3 linked regions of the Mytilus edulis genome follow. The protein of the gene in region 1 purifies or fractionates together with the protein of each later gene. This does not show direct contact. Links are inferred from orthologs where the notes say so. Each region holds a gene or a part of one and is shown in the gene's direction. Other genes may lie near its edges.

Evidence for each region. Proteins that work in one complex are often made in the same cells at the same time.
Region 2: the proteins of proteasome subunit alpha type-4-like (region 1) and proteasome activator complex subunit 3-like fractionate together in Homo sapiens (co-fractionation; 3 studies listed by BioGRID, with this or other methods). This does not show direct contact. The link is inferred for Mytilus edulis from reciprocal best matches to the Homo sapiens genes PSMA4 and PSME3.
Region 3: the proteins of proteasome subunit alpha type-4-like (region 1) and 26S proteasome non-ATPase regulatory subunit 5-like fractionate together in Homo sapiens (co-fractionation; 3 studies listed by BioGRID). This does not show direct contact. The link is inferred for Mytilus edulis from reciprocal best matches to the Homo sapiens genes PSMA4 and PSMD5.

Annotation. Positions count from the first base shown.
Region 1 is NC_092347.1:92,229,751-92,237,439, forward strand, and holds the start of proteasome subunit alpha type-4-like, read left to right. Parts: upstream 1-4,662; 5' UTR 4,663-4,745; coding exon 4,746-4,748; intron 4,749-6,871; coding exon 6,872-6,914; intron 6,915-7,157; coding exon 7,158-7,320; intron 7,321-7,689. UniProt on the Homo sapiens protein: Component of the 20S core proteasome complex involved in the proteolytic degradation of most intracellular proteins. This complex plays numerous essential roles within the cell by associating with different regulatory particles.
Region 2 is NC_092345.1:106,000,598-106,007,829, forward strand, and holds the start of proteasome activator complex subunit 3-like, read left to right. Parts: upstream 1-4,206; 5' UTR 4,207-4,300; coding exon 4,301-4,354; intron 4,355-7,232. Other genes in the region: natural resistance-associated macrophage protein 2-like, read right to left, coding at 2,704-2,883. UniProt on the Homo sapiens protein: Subunit of the 11S REG-gamma (also called PA28-gamma) proteasome regulator, a doughnut-shaped homoheptamer which associates with the proteasome. 11S REG-gamma activates the trypsin-like catalytic subunit of the proteasome but inhibits the chymotrypsin-like and postglutamyl-preferring (PGPH) subunits.
Region 3 is NC_092345.1:26,665,931-26,673,229, forward strand, and holds the start of 26S proteasome non-ATPase regulatory subunit 5-like, read left to right. Parts: upstream 1-4,273; 5' UTR 4,274-4,296; coding exon 4,297-4,478; intron 4,479-5,666; coding exon 5,667-5,811; intron 5,812-6,529; coding exon 6,530-6,668; intron 6,669-7,299. Other genes in the region: protein unc-80 homolog, read right to left, coding at 3,995-4,077. UniProt on the Homo sapiens protein: Acts as a chaperone during the assembly of the 26S proteasome, specifically of the base subcomplex of the PA700/19S regulatory complex (RC).

The DNA of each region.
Region 1 (7,689 bases):
CTATGTTGTTCTACTGGTCTATATATAGTTGTTTCATCTGGATGATATGGTGTCCATGATGTATCTCTTCGTGACCATTGAATGTTAGTAGATGGTTGGTCACAATTTCTATCTTCCTTCAAAGCCTTGACATCTTGTGAGAGTTGTTTCACCAATGCTGTAAGTTGCTGAATTTGCCTATTTTCTACTGTTGTTGTCGTTGATTTACTCGTAGCCTGTGTAGGTGGTTTCTTTTTCAAAGATGGTTTGAGGTTATGTTGATTCTCTATTTCTCTTGTAGCTTTCAGTAATGAGTGAAAATCGGTGATGGTATCTTTCTTGTAGCGGACAATATTCTTCATCTCCGGTCTTAATCCATCAAAGAACTTTGACGTAAGCATATCGTTGATGTTTTCCTCTGTGACATTCTTTCTGTTCTTGGCTTTGCTTAGTATTTCCTCTAATCGACAAGCCCATGTTGCAACGTCTTCATCATCTTGCTGTCTAGCCGTGTAGAATTGGCCAAGTAAAGCTTCAGGCTGATCAACAGATCCGTATATACTGTCCATCTTATCAATGATGTCGTCAATGGTTGCTTCAGGACCAAGTCTCATGGGAACCTTGCTAGCATCTCCACGTAGAGAACGTCTAATAGCCATCGTGATGGTTTCATGTGTATGTCCTGTCTTGATGAGACACTGTACCTCATATCTCCATAGGTCGTATGGTGTACCAGTCTTCACATCTCCGGAAAACGCTGATATCCGCGGTAAATAGGCATTACATAAATCATCATCAGTTTCTTTGTAATCTTCCATCCAGGTCTTAAAATCATCTGGTGTCTGAGCGCATGGTTTGAGATCCATCTCCTTGAAGGCCATAACTATGTTGCTGATCTCATCCTTAGATAGATAATCCGACATGGCTGTACAAAATAATAATACCTAAACTGTAAAAATAAAATGCTGAGATGAAATCTGAAATAAACAAAAGCTTCTGAAACAAAGAAATGTTAAGTTCCTAAAAGAAAAAAATATGTCTGAAATGAATACCAATATATACCAAAAGTTAATGCTAAAACAAAAAAAAAATGTTAAGTACCTACAATAGAAACAAAGTATCTGAAATAAAAAAATATATGAATAATATTAATTTATCCTAAAATACAAAGAAATTATCTGGAATAAATTAAATAAACAAAAAGTTTTTAAGTACCTATAACAAAAATAAAGATTCTGAAATCAAATAGAGAAAAAAATAAGATTAAGTACCTGAAAACTAAAAGAAAACAATAAGATTAGTATCTGCAGTCTAATGTCTAATCTACAATAAAGATAGAATTAATGCAAATCCAAATATGATACAATATAATCTGGAAATCTCAAAGAAATATCCTGTAAAAAAAAAAAAGATTAGTAACTCTATGGTCTGAAATCAAAATTATGATTAAGTATCAACAAACTCGACAACAGTGCCTAAATAAATATAGAGTGATATAATACTGGACTGAAATGACCAACTCCTCTGAAATAAACAGACTAGATGGTAAATGCAACTCTGCAATGGTAAATCAATATACTGAAATCAAAATTCTGATTACTATATGTATACACAAAAATGGATCTGAGAAAACACTATATATAAGTATAATGTACACAGTGGCTAACAATACCTCACAACTGAAAAGCAATGAGTATGTATAATAAAAACAAATATGAATAGTATCAATATACACGTACGTACCTTTTTTAAAGTTCCTACCCAGCTATGTCTCTGCAAATCACACACACCTAATACTCACCAAAATGTGTGCAATTTATTCCTTACTGAGTATGACTAGCTGCTACATATAATCAAAATATATGTAACTATATAGGGGAATATATATAATACAATGTAATGTAAAGTAGAAACTGGTACTGCTGCTGCTGTAAATAATATCAATATATCATCAATGAAATCGCTGAAAGTCCTGAAACTTAAAATGTATTAAAGAATCAGTCAGTCAACAACAAGAACCGAAGCAACAGATCTACCTATACAACACAATGTAGACACCTATCAAGTACCTCAATAACCAGAACCTTATCAATCAAACAACACGTATACTTACTTAACTATGTATACTTCTAGTTCTTCAATGAGCTTTATACCTACTTCTTCAAATGTACAAATTACTCCAGTCGGTTTCTTTCTGTACTTATATTCCTCACTTACCCTCAAATTTTTTGTAGGTGAATATCTACGACAGCAAAGTTCTGTGGAACTTTACGAGTAAAAGAGTATTTGTCGTGTCTCTAGTCTTTGCAATAATCCTAACTGACAGATGTGGGGATTGGGCAGTTATGAATCTATTTAATATGTACAGAATAATATGCAAATATCAACACAATATATATGTATTTACAAAGTCAAATATAATATATCAATTACAAACAGTAGCAACTGTTTATTCTTCTACCTATGTGTCACACTTTAAATTCTAATGTAAATTAACTAACTGTAAAAGAGTTCGAAAGCTAATTATATAATCAAATTCTGAATGAAAGTTTAAAGTAATTTCAACAAAAATTTACAACAAAAATTTAAATCCAAATACAGCTAATATGTCTGAAATAATTTCAAATAATTTCCGAAAAAAAATCAAAGAAATTTATTTAAAAAAAAAATTAAGTGACACAACAAAATGTGTATTACAAGTCAAGTACAAATAAACAAATACATTCAATGTCAATCAACTAATGAGTATATATCAAAAGTTTTACTAAATGATGTTTATTTATAAAGTCAAAACACACACAGTGTATAAATACAACTCAGTTTAATAGTAACATCTATAGTCAATCGGTAATCTCTGAAGTGTATCGACATCTACGGGTATCGTGTATTGCCAAAATACGATCAATTCTTCATAATCTACATTATCCACCAAAAACGTCTGATCTACCAGAAAAACTACGTTGGGCGCCATTGTGATAGTCGTGTTTTACGGGGGTTCCATAAACGACAAGTCTAGGGTTCTTTGACATCACTTTATTAAGTTAACATAGGAATAAATAAATAACCCTGCAATAACAACAGCATATAGTTATTACAATTATCAATATCACAGTCTTATCAAAGTCTTATACTATAAACATATAAATATTATACTGGCGTAATAACAATGTTACAAGATCGCATATAATATTCTATTCCGTATACAATAATCTATACTGAGTATCAAGAATGCGGTGACATTCACAATATGCAATACACTCGCAATTATATCTTTCTAAATACAAATGCATGCTTTTGATAAGTCGTATCAAATAGTATATCATTATAATCAACCAAGCGTATTATAAACAAGTCGAATGTACTGTACTTCATAAACGAGTGTCATTCATAAAACCTTTAACATACAAAGGTTATTATCTGTTCACTATAGTATTCTTTTAATTTCGTATGCACTACTGTAATGTATAATATCTATGTAGGTACAATATAATATAATATGACCCTTACCAATCTGTGGAACCAGGTTATATATCTAACATCTACAGTACAACCAGTATGTTACAGGGACATCATAATCTATGTGTCCTGAAAATAATACACAATAGTAAATACTAGGATCTAGGAAAATAGTGATCCCTTACATAAAATACAGCATATTAAAGACTGATATAATAAAATCAAGCTATTACACAGAATAACCATATATGACAATATGAATGCAATTGTCAATGTGACGTCATAGATCCATAACCGAAAGGTCAAGGTCACTTTCAAAATCATTCATAAATCTCCCTTTCTACATTCAAACTACAGATTCAAATCATATATTCTCAGATTAATACATCAACTATCTTACTCCTATCATATCTAAGGTCTATGGGCATACTTACCTATAAACGGGCAGAATTGTATAGCATGCACTGCATACGCCTTTCATACACCACAAAGAATATAAAATCTACTTACCAGATATAAAGAATGTAATTTCCAATAACTACAGTTGTTCCAAAGTATGGAAACTTCAGTGAATAATAACGAGCACTGAATATAATGTTTCTATATAAGTTTTATCACTATATACGGTTTAAACAATAAGTATATATTAAATTTGTATGTCTCCAATTTTCAAGAGTTAACCACCATTACTTTATTTCCAAAATCTGAGGTGTGTCCAGAATGACCAATAAGAACTGACCATAAAGGTAAACAAGGTGTGACAATTAATTTACTAATGAGTTGGACAGGTAGATACTATTACAACTATGCCCAATGAAGTATGACTGACTAGAACTTTCATACATTTTAAAGTGTGAAGAGATAATGAACTATAAATCAAAAGATCAAATAATCAAAGTGAAGTAATTAAGTCTAATATCTGGCATATCATAAAATGTAAAATACTAATAAATGAAATGCGTAAAAATATACTCTGTCACAATTATTCAAAATTTAGGTTTATCATATTAGTCAAAAAATATATGTAGGACATTCGTTCTGAATATACATGAAATATTTGCCACTGGACTTTAATTAAGCAAACCAACTGTAGGACATAGTCTTGATTAGCTGACATTTAAGGTAGCGCCTTCCTCATACTATTATCATTTATACATTTCTCGTTTTTGCTATTTATTTTGCCACTGACAACGGGTAAAAAAGACAGCATGATTTTAAAAAAAATTATCAGTGTTGCGACATTACAATAGAAATCTACACTTTACACTAGTTTAAATACGAAACTAAACTTACAGCTCTGTATTTCAAAGATGGTAGGTCTGCTTTATCATCGTAAAAGAAGTAAAATACACTTTCCTAGCAGAAATTTAGTGATTTTTGTTCTAAATTTCTAATGCATATGATCATGAGATTCACTAAAATACAATTTCTATAGGAGTTTTGAATATGAGGTCCAAATTAACACGGGAAATGAAAAAAAGGGGGGACTATGCCGGTTGGACATAACTTACTTTGTTAATTTTTACTCCGGAGTCCTTCTTCAGCTTTTTTGCTATGATGAACCTTTAAAGTTAATGACTGACTGGTAGTTTAGATAGTTCATGAATACACATTCAAGTATAAAAAAAATAACAGTAGTAGAAGTAGAAAAAGGTAAAATAACAAAAATAACCAAAATTAGAAAAATATCAAACTCTTAAGAAAATTTAAAATGTGAAATTCAATGTGAAAGTTCGGAATCAATATTAAAAGATTAAACAAATTGTCTCAGGAAAAATCTTGGTTTTTATTTGCCACAAAATCTCCTTTTACTATTAACATGATTAAATGCAAGGAAACAATAAATAGACATTAATACAGCCGAGCATTTTCCCCGTTTCGGGCCGAATCCTTATATCGTTGATATGTCAAGTCAATGCACTATTATTGTTTTTATACTGCAATCTAAAAAAACATTTTCAATTGTTGTTTATTGTGTTAATGTTATTTATTTGATTTAAATATTGGGAAAAATCCCCCTTTAAAAAGTAAAATCACAAAAATACTGAACTTAGAGGAAGATCAATTGGGAAAGTCCATAATCACATGGCAAAATCAAATAACAAAACGCATCAAATACGAATGGACAAGAAAAGGCCTCATATCACACAGACGGAGAAATATAAAACACGATGAAATGTACATAATTACCGCAATCAATGATGAACGAATTCGTTGCAGACTAAAATATCAACAATAAACATAAAACATAATGATTTATAGGTAAGGTTGCAAACAAAAAAATATTAATAAGTGAAATATGTTTTCCCAAAAATTGCAAAAGAAACAAGTTTGAGTCGTTAAACGCATCGTTGTTTACATTGAAAACAAGAACAGGTTGAAGAGTTCGTATGAATAATTAAATATAATTTCGACAATTTCTATTTTTAAAATATTCATGAGGAAAAGTGATATCAGGTCAGTGACTGTATATGGCATAGAAATATACAGTCAACGCATTTTGACTGCTCAAATAGAACGAGTGCAGTATAAATATAAATAATGCCTTTGCATTTGGAATATGTACAAAAAATATTTTTTTGACTGTTTTGACACTATTGCAGTTTTAAAATTTCATAATTCACATGGCTACAGAAGGGGTCACAAACCTTAATCACTATAAAACAAACAAATGTGTGAACAAACTTATAATCAAAGCACATAAGCAAAAACGAAAAACAAAATACAGAAAAAGATATACTAAACAGTCAAAGTAATAACTTACAAAAAAATTATAAGAACAGTACCTATAATCTAGACCAACATGACCAAGGTATATTTTTGTCATAATTAATTAATATATAATGAATTCTGAAAGTGTGACTGTTATAAAGAAAAAATAATTCTGATTAAAAACATGTTTTGATTTATTCCTGGAATTGCTTCTTATTGTGATCCTGTTTTATCTGTTATAAAATAAGATTTGTTCCTGTTTTGCAGGATTAAAACTTTTCAGACCATTTTTGGAATGGTTTTTAACAATGATTGTTTTATATTTCTTCAAAATATACATGTACATTACAAAAGATACAAATCAGTACAGTACACTTAAAACTATCTAAAAGATAACAAAACATATAAAACAAACCAATGATTATAATAAGGCAAGACATAGAACATACATGTAGTACCAAAGAATGCTAATTATAACAGTTTTTAAATTAAAAGAAAGGCTTCAAGCTCAAAGCCTTTTATCAACTTGATATGAAACCATACCATTCTACATTAATTTAATTGGCTGTGCTTCAAACTACATGTAGATTTCATACTGCATCGACAAGAAGACCTGATTATGTACTATGCCCAAAACAAACCTGTGCAAAACTTCAATTTATGAAAATAGAAGCAATAATTTAGTCTAGTTTCAAATGTAATTGGTTTCTTTCTTTCTTTTCAGTCTAGGAGATATGATTCCAGAACAACTATTTTTTCCCCAGAAGGTAAGAATAGAAAGTGAAACATACTACATATATATATTTAATAAAACACATTTTAAACTGTTTGCACTATCATAATTGTGTACATGTATTATTATTCGTTTGTACTTTCATAATTATGTACATGAATGTTAAATTGTTTGCACACATATGCAAGATGAATGTACAAATTTGGCTTTGTACCAAGTTTATATTTGTTTTGTATAATAAAAGAATGGATTTGATGTGAGTATTTATGTAATACAGGGAGGTTGTACCAAGTGGAGTATGCCATGGAAGCAATAGGACATGCAGGAACTTGTTTAGGGATATTAGCCAGTGATGGAGTGGTTTTAGCCGCAGAGAGAAGAAACACAAACAAATTGTTGGATGAAGTCTCATATTCAGAAAAAATCTATAATCTCAATGAGTAAGTTTTAACCTGCACATCAAGAATTATATTGTGACTTAAAGATACCAGATTATGAAATATAGAAACAATGAAGACATAGATTTCATAGTATAAACGTTTCCATACACTAACCGACACATGGTCTCTCCTGTGTATCCTGTTTTAAAAGAATAAAAGATTTTGTACAAGACTTTAGCTTTTTAGATAGATATGAGTTTGAAAAATGAAAATGAAATAATAATGTATTTATATACCTTTAAATATGTGCATTTAAGAAATAACTGCATATTTCTTGGTTGGTCTTTATGGTTGAAGTCATTTTGACATAATATTTATTAGTTCAGTTGTGATTGAACTTAAAATCTTTCAGTGTTATGTAATTAGTTT
Region 2 (7,232 bases), on another chromosome or scaffold:
TTTATTTAGGGGCCAGCTGAAGGACGCCTCTGGGTGCGGGAATTTCTCCCTGCATTGAACACCTATTGGTGAACTTCTGCTGTTGTCTGTTCTATGGTCAGGTTGTTGTCTCTTTGACACATTCCCCAAGTCCATTCTCAATTTTATATTTATAAAATATTAGATGATGTCTTTTTTTTCTGGTGTCAAAGGTTTGATAGATTACTGCCACATTCAAAATAACATTTAATATATATATATATATCAATAGTTCTGTAAGTTTAAACTTATATACAATGTACCCAATTAACGATATAAGTTATCCAGAAATGTAACTCTAATGGATCTTATCATGTCTTTTTAATTTGTGCTGACCATATCTATTATCAATAAATAGTAAAAAATGTCATTAGGACCTAGATGAGGATGATCCAACAAGATAAATAAAGTAAAAGCAGGATAAAAAACATCCTTAATTTGATATAAGTGTGTACATGTCTTATATCCTACTTAATTAACATTGATTTCAATTATTTTATTACATATATTTTTTAAAATATGTTATCATTATACTTGAATTTCAGGACATAACACTTTTTTTATTAATGTATGCTGATGATATGATTTTGATGTCAGAATCAATCCAAGGCTTACAAAATATGTTAAATACTTTATCTGGTTATACTGAGAAATGGGGTCTTTCAGTTAACACCAAAAAAACAAAGATAGTAGTTTTTCGTAAAGGTGGGAAAATTAGTCTTACTGAGATATGGATTTATAATGGTAAACCATTAGATATTGTAGATCATTTTTGTTATCTGGGTGTGTTATTTCATTATAATTGTAAATTTTATATTACTCAAAACCACTGTGCTGAACAAGGCAGGAAAGCTGAGTTTAGTATGAGGAAAAAGGCATTATCCTTATACCTGAACACTGTTACTTCTATAAGTTCATTTGACACTTATATATGTATGTAGTATTTTAATGTATGGTTGTGAAGTTTGGGGTGTTCATAGAGCACCAAATGTAGAAAAAGTTCATTTGGACTATTGTAAAACATTACTAGGTGTCAAGAGGTCCACTTCTAATGTAATGGTATATTATGAATTAGGAAGATTTCCATTGTTATATGAGCGAAATTTTAGGATGCTCAAATTATGGACTAAAATTCACGGTAGTGAAAATTGTATTATAAAGTCTTGTTACAAAGAACTAGTAGCAAATAGCAATAAATGTAAAAACTGGGCAACTTGTATTTAAACAATTTTATATGATCTTGGTATGAATTATTATTGGGACAACCAATGGGTACTTTGCTTGGATAGTTCATTTTTACAATTAACAAACAACGAATATATGATCAAGCTAAACAAGAGTTGCATTTCACGCTTGAAACATCACCAAAGTGTAGATTATATAAGTATATTGTGTCAAATGTAGAATTATAATTTTATTTACAAAAATGTATTCCTGTAATAGCTCGTAAATGGATAACGAGAATTCGCCTATCCTCACATAATCTATGCATTGAAACTGGTCGTTTTTATGGAATAAGTAGAAATAGTAGAATGTGTATTATGTGTGATAAAAATGTAGTAGAGGATGAATTTCATTTTATTTTACAATGTACAAATTATAATGATATACGTAAAAAGTTTATCAAGAAATATTATTGGACTAGACCATCAACTTATAAATTAATACAATTGTTTTCTGTTGAAAACACTAAGGAACTCTGTAATTTAGGAAAGTACTTACTCTATGCATTTAAGTGCAGGAATAATATTTAAGACCTATGTTTATTATATGTAGTCTGAAACTCACAAACTGTATAATATGTAACTGATATTTCTGACGTTTGTTATTTATGTGTATGTTAATGCTATACAACTTGTAAACTGTATATTTATGCATATTATACCGATAAACTGTATTGTTTAAGGTAAATAAAGAATAGAATCCTGAATATGCATCAGACACAAAGAAATTAAAATCAATCAAATGTTTTCAAAGAACAAATAACACAATTGCTGTAGTTTGAAAACAAAATAAAGAAATCAATCTTAAAAATTTGAGCATATAGACTTTTGAAATCAATGGTAAAACTCTTCAAATCAGTTTACTTTATACATAGAACTTCTATTGGAAAATATTCAATAAGTCTGGACAAATTTTGTGGTGGAACATTTATTCAGATAAGTGTTTTCTGCACACTTGCCTGAAGAACATCAGGTATTGGGATTTTCCCTTTACCTGAAGAACATCAGGTATTTGGAATATCTGTTACCTGAGGAACATCAGGTATTGGGATTTCCCCTTTACCTGAGGAACATCAGGTATTTGGATTATCTCTCACCCAAGGAACATCTGGTATTGGGATTTTCTCTTACCTGAGGAACATCAGGTATTGGAATGTTCTCTTACCTGAGGAACTGAGGAACATCAGGCATTATAATTTTCTCTTACCTGAGGAACATCAGGTATTGGGATTTTCTATTACCTGAGGAACATCAGGTATTGGAATTTTCTGCACTCTTACCTGAGGAACATAAGGTATTGGATTTTTCTCTTACCTGAGGAGAACATCAGGTATTTGGATTTGCTGTACACTTACCTGGGGAACATCAGTTATTAGAATTTTCTCTTACCTGAGGAACATCAGGTATTGGGATTTACTGTACACTTACCTGGGGAACATCAGTTATTAGAATTTTCTCTTACCTGAGGAACATCAGGTATTTGGATTTTCTGGTCAAAGTATGTTGATGCCACAGAACTAAAGTGTTGTTTCTCCTCTTCTCCTTCCTGTTGAACATCTCCATTAGCAGAATCATTCTTCTCCATTACATCTCCATTCCCAGGATCAGTCTTCTCAATCACTTCTGATGAATCTGCCATCATCTATTACATCAGATCTAAATTAGAAGAAAAAAATGTCATTCCCTACTGTGTTCAGTGATTAAAGTTAAAATTTAGGCATAGTAGCAAACAGCTTAAGTTTTGTAGCCAATATATATAGTTCTATACAAAAAAAAGTTGAAATTGAAGTAGCCCACACTGAATTTTAGGGGCCATTGGCGAGTGGGCCCTGCTAATTTTAAACCCTTGACTATTACATCTGCATCCAAGATAACTTTAAAACTAGATATATGGATGATGCCCCATTCTGCTCTGCCTTCTGCACCCAGTATTGTTCCTCAAACTTTATATTTGACAAACAGTGCATTTAAAGTATGCCTGCAACCTCTTATTTTAGAGGTTTTCATAAACATCCAAGCAATGTGTTCTCACTGGAGCTGAAAAGCTAACACATAAACAAGTTTATCTTTCATACATGTGGTCATTATAACAATAAAAAGTATTAAATTAAAAATGGATAACAATTGCAAAAAAAGGCTTCAATAAAAATAAAATTTAATTACCTTTTTAAAGAGTAATTAATTAAAACTTAGAAATGTAATTTACTACAATTAATTTCGAACTGTGATAAAATACAAGTACTTTAGAAATGTATTTAATTATGAAATTAAACGAATACTTTTGCAACTTAATCATTTACAATTACAATGGCTTTTGAAAGTCAATTAGTTACAATTACAATTTTAATTAATTACAATTACTTTTGCAACTCAATTAATTACAGTTTTGAATACGAATTATTTTTGCAATGTAAATAATTACTTTAGAAATAAAGTCGATAATTAATTACAATTTCAATTAATTCAGAAATTATTTTCTGTATACAAAACTGATTATTATTATTAATGTCAACCTGTCAGAATGTAGTGTGTAGTGATGTCCGGTAATAGGTGAACATTGCATAAAACAAAATCATATGAAAGTCAAAATAATGAAATTAAAAATTCACATGTAGGGGCCTATCTAAAACTATTAATACATCAATGACAAATACACTCCGTTTAAACCTGATGAACTAGCGTGAAGTGTTAAGTACTAATGTCCTTATGACCAAAAATTTTTACTATACAAATCCTTGTTATGACTGACAGTCATGATACGACACTCAAAATAAAAATAAAAATACATGATAATTTGTAATTTGTCTTTTGATACCATTAAAACATAACAATACCTGAATAGCTGAATTTAAATCACTATATTACATGTTGTCGAGATTTTTACTAGGTAGCAGCGCCAGTTGAATGCAGGATCTACCTTTGTACATGCAGACGGGCACCTGATCGGGTGATATAATAATTACCTCCCCTTAATTAACTCTTTCAAGAGAAGGCCGAAAAAGTCCTTAACTCATCTGAGACCGCATTGGGCGCTCAGAAAACATATTTCTCAGAACAAAATGCCAACTGATGGTAAAAAATCTGCAAAACAAAGGGAAGAATTGGACAAAAAGGTTGTATTAATTTGTGAACTTTCAATATTTTATAACATTTTGTCAAATTAGTCGACAGTTTGATCAAATTATTAAAATTTCTGTCTACAAACTGAACAGCTGAAGCTTATAAATTTTCATCATTTTTAGAGAAAGATGAGTTTTGCTACTAAGTGACCCTTACCACTGCTACAACACTGAAAATTCCCAAGATCCCACTCAATTTGACTATGTTTTTATTTTTCAGAACATCAAATTCAGTGATCTGGAAGGATTCTTCTCTATGTCTATGCATATGCCCTGGCTAGCCCCCCCCCAAAAAAAAAAAATCAATGGGCCAATTTTAGAATTATCAGACCATGTTGTTGAATAAGTACACCATAGGTTTATAGCAAAAAACTTGAAAATGTATATTATAGCAAAGTCTAAAGAGGTACTTGCCCCTAACTTGGTATGAGTTTATATAGGATCTGCTTACCCTTCCAAAGCACCTGAGATCACCCCCAGTTTTTGTTAAGTTCGTGTTGCTTAGTCTTTAGTTTTCTATGTTGTGTTTTGTGTACTATTATTTGTCTGTTTTTTTAGCCATGGCGTTGTCAGTTTATTTTCTATCTACGAGTTTGACTCTCTGGTACAAATGTATCTTTCGCCCCTCTTTTAAGAATGACAATCATGAAATTTAAAATCACTCAGAAATTATAAATTTTAGTTGCCTACAGAAGAAGTTATTAGATAATTCATAAAAAAAGGTTAAATATTGTAAATAACATTTTGTTCTTTTAATATGGCAAGAGTCATAAAATTCATTATTATTTTATGGTTTTGACTAAAATCTTTACATTTAGACATATTTTGCATGACTGTTGGACCAAATACCGACTGTAAACATACCTTTTTATATGTAGCCTTATAGGACACACAAAACTACCAGCCAACATTGTAACTTAGACTGGACCTGTCTGTCCCTTTTCTGGATAACCAAATTGCGTACATGACATGAAAGCAGGTCAATATCAACTCTAGCTTGTGTGAATTTATGTAGGGTTTCCCCTGGGTCAATTATTTTTTTCGCCACCTCTTTTGCCAAAACAATATATTTTTTGCCACTTTATTATCTTTTTTCGCCAAGTAAGACAAATATATTTTTTTTCCAGCCCCCCTAAATAAGAGTTTGACCCATTGCTGTCTATGATTATTCTCTCAAACTTGTTTTAGAGTCTACATTGTAATGAATAAATACTAAACATTTACCTTTTAAAAAAAAGAACTTTATAAGGAAAATGATTATATTTTGAACAACTTTAAAAGAAGGGGGCCCACTTACTTTAAAAAATAAAGAAGATATATGACCTGCAATATAAAAAGTTCTTGGATACCTGAAAGATGTACAGTTTTTTGGGAAAGTTTCTTCAAAATTGAAAACATTTTCTCTTTTGTACCAAGAAGTGTTTTTTACAATTTTGTCACTTGAAATTGATTCTTCATGTAAGGTGTAGTCATTAAATTGAAGGGTTACTCTCATTCGAGGGGTTGTTCTCAAACTTTTGAATAGATTTCTTCATAACGACTGTTTTCTTTTCTAGACCATCATAAAAATGTAAAACTATGCTTGAAACATGTGTCACTGATACGACTTTAAAGTACCCACTCAAATCAATTATCGATATCAAAGTTAAATGATTAAGTTTAAATCAGAGACCTTTATTGCTTTTGTACATTTTTCGTCATAACATTTTTTTTTCTTTTCTGGACTATCATTAAAAGAAGGGTAGTATCATCAAAATTTTGCTTCAAACACGTGCATCGCAAAGTGGCAAATAATCCTTTATGTAACATGTGACAGGCGCCATTTCACCATACCATTTTATCATATAATTCAATCAACACCTTTATTAATTAGTCCAGTGTTCTCCCCAGGCCGTTTTAGCGTCGCGGTACCGCGACGCTATATTTTTTCACCGTGATGGTATAATAATTCCCGCGACGCTATAATTATTTTAAAGATGCTATTTTACTTGTCCTCAATTTTGAACTTTCATCTATTATCGATTATGATCATAAAAATTATATCACCTTTAATTGTAATCCCTTTAAGTCGGACACTAAAGGCAATTAAGAGATTGAATAGCCAGGTGTTAATTGCCCTCAGGGTGATAACTGTTTGGATGCGAATATCCCAAGCTGACACTTGTGACATGACTAAATTAATACCACGTGTCAATCACCAATTTCGACATGGAAAAATGCAGTCACAAAAACAATTCGAAATCTATGTTTTGTATTACGAAATTTCAAAGATTAAAACGATTTTTTATTTTTTAAAAGGTCGTTTATTTGTGCAACTCTCCAAAAAATACTTTCTTTCTCTTCCGGTAATACGAGAGCGAGAATTTTGGTTTTGAGCTAAAATAAGTTTTATACTTCTTTAAAAAGTGGTCATAATTGGCTTAAGTTTATGTTTAATTCATTTAATGCATTAAAAGCGTCTTATTCATTCACAATCTCTTGTCAAACAATGTTTATTCTCGGACTCATTTTCGTAAATTTTTCTACGGCCGCCATTGCACATTTTTGTGTAAATTACGGATCGGAACCGGACCAGATATGTCAAAAATCCGCATTTTCACGATAATGACAACAGACGGACGGTAGACAGAAAAAATATACCAATAGAGAAAACTACGCATTAATAGACTATTTGTTAGATAACTTTGTTAAAAATACGTATCATTTTGATGTAAAGATAAGAAATAACAGGGACTAATTCATTCAGTGCCATGAAACAATGAATTTCATAAACATGATAAAAAAAAAAGTATTTAAATTGATATTTTTTTGCTACTTTTGCTACTAGTACTTTATCTTTACTTAATATAATATAAAAAAAATAGTTAATTTT
Region 3 (7,299 bases), on another chromosome or scaffold:
AGGATTTAGGCCTTACCTGTTGTTAGTTTGGCAATAAGGGAACATAAAAGGGGTCCAGTTTAACCGTGAAGGGGCCTATTGGCAATCCCATATATTATGGATTTGTTTATATAATTTGTTTATATAAATAGGCAGTGTCTGAGCATACATTGTACCTGCATGCGGGTACCAATAGCCAAATTTTTCTTTGTAGGGTATGCGTTTCTGCATCAGGTTTAATAATTTCATGTCATTGGATTGGGAATAAAATGTGAAATGAACCCGGAAGTTTTCGCAATCCCAGACATATTTTGTTAAAAATCATGATCCCGATAAATTTAAAAGTTTAAAGTTTCAATGCTTATGATTAATGTTCAAAGTCTTTCAGCTTAACCAATCCGAATATGTATTATCACTGTTACCGTGAAGTCAAGCTGTATATAAGCATTTTTGTTCACCAAAATCTTCAGTAGCCAGTCAGAAAATTGGCCAAATTCCAGTTCAAGTCAAAACAAGAATTTGGCTTGATAAGAAACTGGATGCACACGTTTAGGGGGAAAAAAGGGGGTAAGGTTTTGTATATACAACTTTAATAAAAAATCGAACGATATTTTCAAGTTGATTGAATGAATACTTATTAGTACTTTCACAGAAAGAGATAATTTTCTACATGTACCTATCAAATTTGATCTTTCAGTTTGAAGGAATGTTTTCTCGGGATCCCATTGATGCTGTGTATAAATATACTTTTCCTTGGTCATCTTTGTATTAATATTTCTCCCCATCCTTTTTTCACAGGCCGATTCATTAATTCCCCAATAATTGATAAGGCCAACTAAAATCAATTAGTAGATTTTCATCCAAATTTTTGAAAAAAATGGGGCGGGTGGGAGGATTTTATTTTTAAAATTTTATTTCATATGAAACCCTCGTCACGAGTTCTTCATACCGCAGGGTATATGCTAGTGGAAAACAAGCTTGTATAATGTATATACATGCCGTAAAAGGAATCCTACACTATTTTTTAAACTCTTAAATAAAAATCCCTGATTGGCAACCACTGTTAAACATGTAATTGCCGCTTTAGAAACCTATTTATAGTATACATCAAAAAGAAGAAAAATGCCCCCTTCAGTTTGACTATACCTACACCAAATTTATTTTGCTTTCTAAGCAATGGTTTTTAGTCCCCATAAAATCAATAAAATGTATTGGTACAATTGTATGCAACACAAGTATTATGAGTACAGAATAAAATGTAAACTCAGTATTGAAAGTACAATGTAAAACATGAACTTAACCGAAAAGCAGTTTAATGACTAAATTGAGGGTATTGGGATAGTTACAAAGGGTGTTTGCTGTTTGTCAACAAAAACAACAGCCATGGGTAAATATAAGGGCTTGTTATAATTAAAATGCGTGTTTGTCGACTTTTTTTTCTCAATATACGGTCATAAATCAAACAAGTTCGTGCTTGTGCAAATTTCTTTAATACAGTCATGTTTTTTGTACCAATGTGTTCTACGATTCTTGCGCTTTGGATATCATTCACAGTCCAAATTTCCTGACACAAAGTCATCGTATAAATAAAGAAAAAACACGGTTTTCGATTCACTAGTGACTACTGCAATTTGCGTTCAAGGACAAGGCGTTTTACTCGTAACTCGAATATTTCACGCCCTTCTCGTTATCAATCTCTATTCTCGGTAGATGATGTTGTCATTATAGAGCAGCAGAATATGTCGACTTAATCATTTTTGTTAGATTACTCGAAGAAATACAAATACGAAATTTGAAACAGGAAGTTTTGAATGAAACGAAATTATCGATGGTTCCCGGTAACGGACATGAACAAAATCCGGAAATATTTTTTTTGTTAAATAAAAAAAATCAGGGCGGGACAATTTCAGAGGGGCGGGCGGGGATGAAAATCTAGCAATTAATTTTAATTGGCCTAACATATTTTTTTAATTTGATTAAGTCAGTGAAGCTTTCGCTGTCCTTTAGCACAATGTTTGTTTTTTCCTTAAGGAAAGCCAAAGAATGTTTGTCTTTGTGGAACAACAAAAGGGTTCTAATTGATATAATTTGAGAATCGTTTAATTAACGGAATAATTAAAGACCTGATCCGAGCTCAAAGCTGTATCTCTAAACGTACTATCACATGTACTTTGATTGATTGTTGGTTGCTTAATGTCCAGTGGCAAATACTTCATGCATATTCCAGACGAGAACAAGTTCACAATAAGTACAATAGGTAGGTCTTGTCATTAAAGAGGCCCTTTGGAATGATGGTCGGAGATATTTGGACTGCCACTGGAAAATGAGGGTAGATTAGATAGGGACAGAAATTTTGCCTTGCAACAGGCCTCAAAGAGTTGTTGCAAGGATTCTTAACATGCACAGAGTGTGGCACTCTCTTTACATGAGGCATCCGATTTAACGTCCCCATTCTGACCGACGTGACTGCGAACTTGACACATCCCGCACAGCCAACTTCAGCAAGCGTTTTACTGCCGTTTTGGAGAAGACCAAGTGACCTCAGTCACCCTTGGGGTTTACATGTACGTATACTCTGATCTGGATCTACTCTGTTTCTAGATGCGATTCTGATTGAAGTATAATGAACATGGCACTTTGTCCAAGGTACAGTTGTTTGTCAATCCCGTAATATTTCAACATAATAATCCCACATTCCTGTGGCTAAAAACGTGGCTTTCCTGTATCCCAATGTTTTTCTATCCCGAACTCCCGATCTTTAAACAAGGCAATCCCGATTTCCCATTGCTAAAATTGGCCAATCCAGGCGACCCGAAAATGGTCTAGCCCCCCCCCCCCCTAGAAATGACCTTGGTTATTATTTTAATATCTTATTTAATATTAATTATAATTATTGATATAATTTGATATACACCATTATTTTTTAGAAGATAATCCAATTAAAAAAGTATAACAAACAAGTGAAAAACAATACAAAATTAGGACAGTTCAAGTTCTTGAAATAAATAATCATAAATATGTGAATATCAAATGCATCTAGTTTTAGGCATATGAAATTTTATCTTATCATCTTCAATTATGTATACACTCAAACTTTATTTTAAGTTGTTTTAGATCATATTTTAAAATTTATGTTTCCAGCATGTCCAGGTTTCTGTTCTGAATTTTATTAGAAAATAACTTTCACACAAGTTTTTTATTAACCATTGTTAACATACAATTATTCAAATTCAGTATAATTTTATTCTTCTTTTAATGTGCATTTACGTTTAATTTCTATTTTTTTTTTAAATAATACATTAAACACAAATTATTATTTATTATTTGCCATTCTTTGAACACTGAATTCACAAAATCCGTAAATAACTGATTTTTTGGGGTATCTTCATGATCTTTTATGTTCTATTCCTGATCATATGACCGTTTATTAAAAAATCGGTTGCGGTTACGCATAGCCTAATATGATGGCCGAATTAGCTATGCGTACCGGCATGCGGGAACATGCAGACACTGCCTTGTTCATTGAACAATAAGAATCATATTAAAAATTTGGGTGGTTTCTGTAACTTTTGTAAATATTTATATCTTCTACTTCTACTTCTATGTGGTTAATCTGCAGTCGGAAATTCCATAACGCAAATATACTGAACGCGTGTGTCAACCAGTACACGCCAAGTTAAAAATAACAAACTTTGTGTATTTACAGGAACAAAAACAAATAAAATTATCATATAATTTTTAAACATAATTAACGTCTGCAAAATTAATGGTTACAAGATTTAAATTTAAAGTGTTGCATAAATGGGTGCATTTGAACTCTTTGTTGTGTTTATATTAATTTATACATAGAGTGCTCCCCCTTCAGTCTTGACATTTCAATCAATGCAAATGGCACCAAAAACTTCTTGATTGCTTTGTGAAAACTAAATTTTTGGAAAAGAAACTTTCAATAACATGATTAATGAAGAATATGTGGATTAACATGATTAATGAAATTAACATTTAATACGCCCACCTTGTTTGACGCCAGAAAAAAGCCTGGATAGGCAATGGAATCGATTGATCATCGTCACCAGACAGATTTTTACGCTTAGGCATTTTATAATTGCTTCTTCATTAAATATTTACACCCTTCCATCTTTAATTTTCTGTTTCGCATCAAAAATGGCGTATGACTGGAACTCTCTTATCTGTTTATTGATCTGAATCGGCTGCTGAAGCTGATTGTTTTGATCAGTATATTTTTAATAAAAGAGTCCGAGATTTCCGAGAAATGTATATCTACATTCGACACTCTCTAGACTGTTCATCGTAAAAATGGCGGCAAATGTAGACGACATTTGTCGGTCTTTGGAAACGACAACACTGTCAACAGATGTTTTATCAACATTGGTTGAGTTGAAAGCAGCTTTATCATCTGTCAGAACAATAAATCTACACACAGTAGTCTCAGTTTCATCTGTACAGAAGTTATTTGGCTTGTTAAACACTGATGACGGGTTTGTAACTCATGTTTTTACTTCAATTTTGCAAGTCATCCTATACTTCACAATATCTCCATGTATCTCCAGCGTTGTACAGTTTAGGCTTATAAAGACTGATCTCCACAGTATTTGCTTACATCATTAGGAAGGTTGACTATCTATGTATAATTTACATTAGACTAAATTCAAGATGAAAATCACTTGTGTTAATATTGAGTTAACATGGTTAAGCCATTTCCTATTGATATTTTATAATGTGTCTCAAATGTTATACCATTTGTTTCAGGTACATGTAAGGGTTAAGGTTGGTATCTTAAAACGTATAGCCCTTAACTCATTGCATTTGTTTGCACCTGTTCTACATTTTTTTTAAATTAGGAACCTGATGTTCAGCATGTCCAGTGGTTGTTGTTTCTTGATGTGATTTATACATGTTTCTTGTTTTTTAATATAAATTAGACCTTGTTTTACCTATTTGAAAGATTTTACACTAGTCATTTTTGGTGCCCTATATACAGCAACCTTAGGGTTCCTCTTCACCATCCTCATATACATGTATTGTGTTATAATCTCTATTATTTCTGTTGCTGCTTCCTGTTATTTCAGCATAATAATCAGAATAATAGATTTATTAGAGTTTGCTGTTAGGTAGAAGCCAAGGCTTCATTTGGAAGACCAAACTTTTACCTACAATGTATTTATGGTTTACTTTAATTTTACAAATTGTGTCTTGGATGCCATGAGAGTTGTCTCATTGTCACTCATACATTTTTTGTACCACATCTTATTATATCTACTCAACATTCAATACACTTGATATAGGAAACAATTCAAAGACTCCTGACTTTGGACAGGCACTTTTTATAAACTTAGACAGTGGTGCATAACAATATAAACATGAGAAAAAATATAAAAATCAGTTGAAAAGGGCTTAACTCATCAGATCGATAAAACATCAAACTAAATAAATGAATTTTGCAGGTTATTAATACATCTCTTACAACAAAAAAGACACAAAGCACAGATCATGCAGATCTAAGATTGTTATGTTTCTATTAACATGATTAAATTAACAGCTTGTTCAAAACCAAAAACAATTTTTTAAAAGATAATCTGAAATTAGAATAGATAGCTTCATATATTGCATTTAAATGTTATTTTATTGTTATGTTTAGTGACTGTTTTATTGTTTTTTTCTTTCAGTGAAATCATTGAAGAATGTTGCAGTATTTTAAAAAATGTTTTGCTAGCATGGTCACCTGCTGTTGGGTTGGACCTATTCAAAAATGATTTTGATATAGGATTAAAGCACCCTTCTACCACGATACAGTGTTTATGTTTAAGACAGGTAACATTCTTCTATGTTTTAGTAAGGATTATTTATATAGATCTATGTCCACTCATGTTGGATGAAGGGGCAATTTGATAAACCTTATTGCTATTTAGTTCAATCCAGGAAAAACAGTAACTTGGACAACTTCCTGTTTGGGTCGAGTGAACCAAGAACAAAGTTCATCAGTAACGAGATGAGGGCAGAAATGTTTAGAAAGTGAACATTGTGAAATTTGTATAGTTTATGAATGAAAGTAAGAAAAATGCTTTGTTCGAAGTGTTTGCAAGGGTTTAAACACAACTCTTTGAAAATTTGCATGCACAGTACATTGTTTATACAGGGCTCCAGATAGCTTCAACTGGTTTGAAAGAGTGGACAATATTTGAACTTTTTGGATTGGAATAAATAGCGATTTATAAGGTTTATTGAAGCTCAGTGAAAAGATTTTAGAGTGACTTAATATTATAAGAATACATCAGTAGCTTCTTAAATTGAGTTAATAAGATAATTTTTATGATAATAAAGTTACCAAGTATGATACCATACCATTTTTTACCAGAAAAAATAATTTCTGGGGAAGCCCCCCTCCAGTAATGTTTTATTGTGCACATACATGTACTTTCGACTTATATAAACCCATACACCAGTCTTAAGGCTAAATATTCAGGCATATGCTTGTGAATCATTATGTTCATTTTACTGTAATCAATGTCCTTTAAAATCTTTTTTTCAGCTAAAACTTGCTGGAGAAGATGACCAAACACTTTTGAATTGGGATTCAGCAAGAGATGTCATCAAAACAGTGATCAATTTGATAGCTAGCCCATCCCTTCAGGTGGCAAAACATGCACAGAATGTGATACTTAATATTAGTATGTTGTCTTTAACTTAAAATCACTTCAATATCTCTCTATAGATGCTATAATGTGCATTCATTTATTATACAGTTAACTCTCGTTGTCTCGAACTCGGTTGACTCGAAATTTCGGATGAGTCGAAATTTTCACGTGGTCCCGAACTTTATTCCATACAAAAGTATGTAATTCGACTCCTGATGAGTCGAAATTGGATGAGTCGAAATTTCGGTTGAGTCGAACTAAATGTACGGTCCCAAGGTTAACAAAGCATTCAAAATTCATTTTTTATCTCGAACTAATACACATATATGTCAAAACATGACCTCCGGGATTTAAATGGATTGAAGAGTTAATCTGACAATACACGTGTAATTAAATTTCCGGTCACTGACCACTGTATTGATTTATGACATGCTATTTCCATGAGTGTTTACCTAAGATTATCTTTTATAGAATTTTGATAAATAATTAGTGATACATTGTTAATGTTCATGAAAAAGTATTTAAAATGTTTACAAAACAATTAATTTGTGATTTACACTAATGAGCTTGAGTGTGTATAAAGTGAGGATTGTGGCTTCCGTTGATGATCACCTAAAAACTACTCAAACGGCGTCTTCAATCTTGTTATATTTTCTTTTGAAAA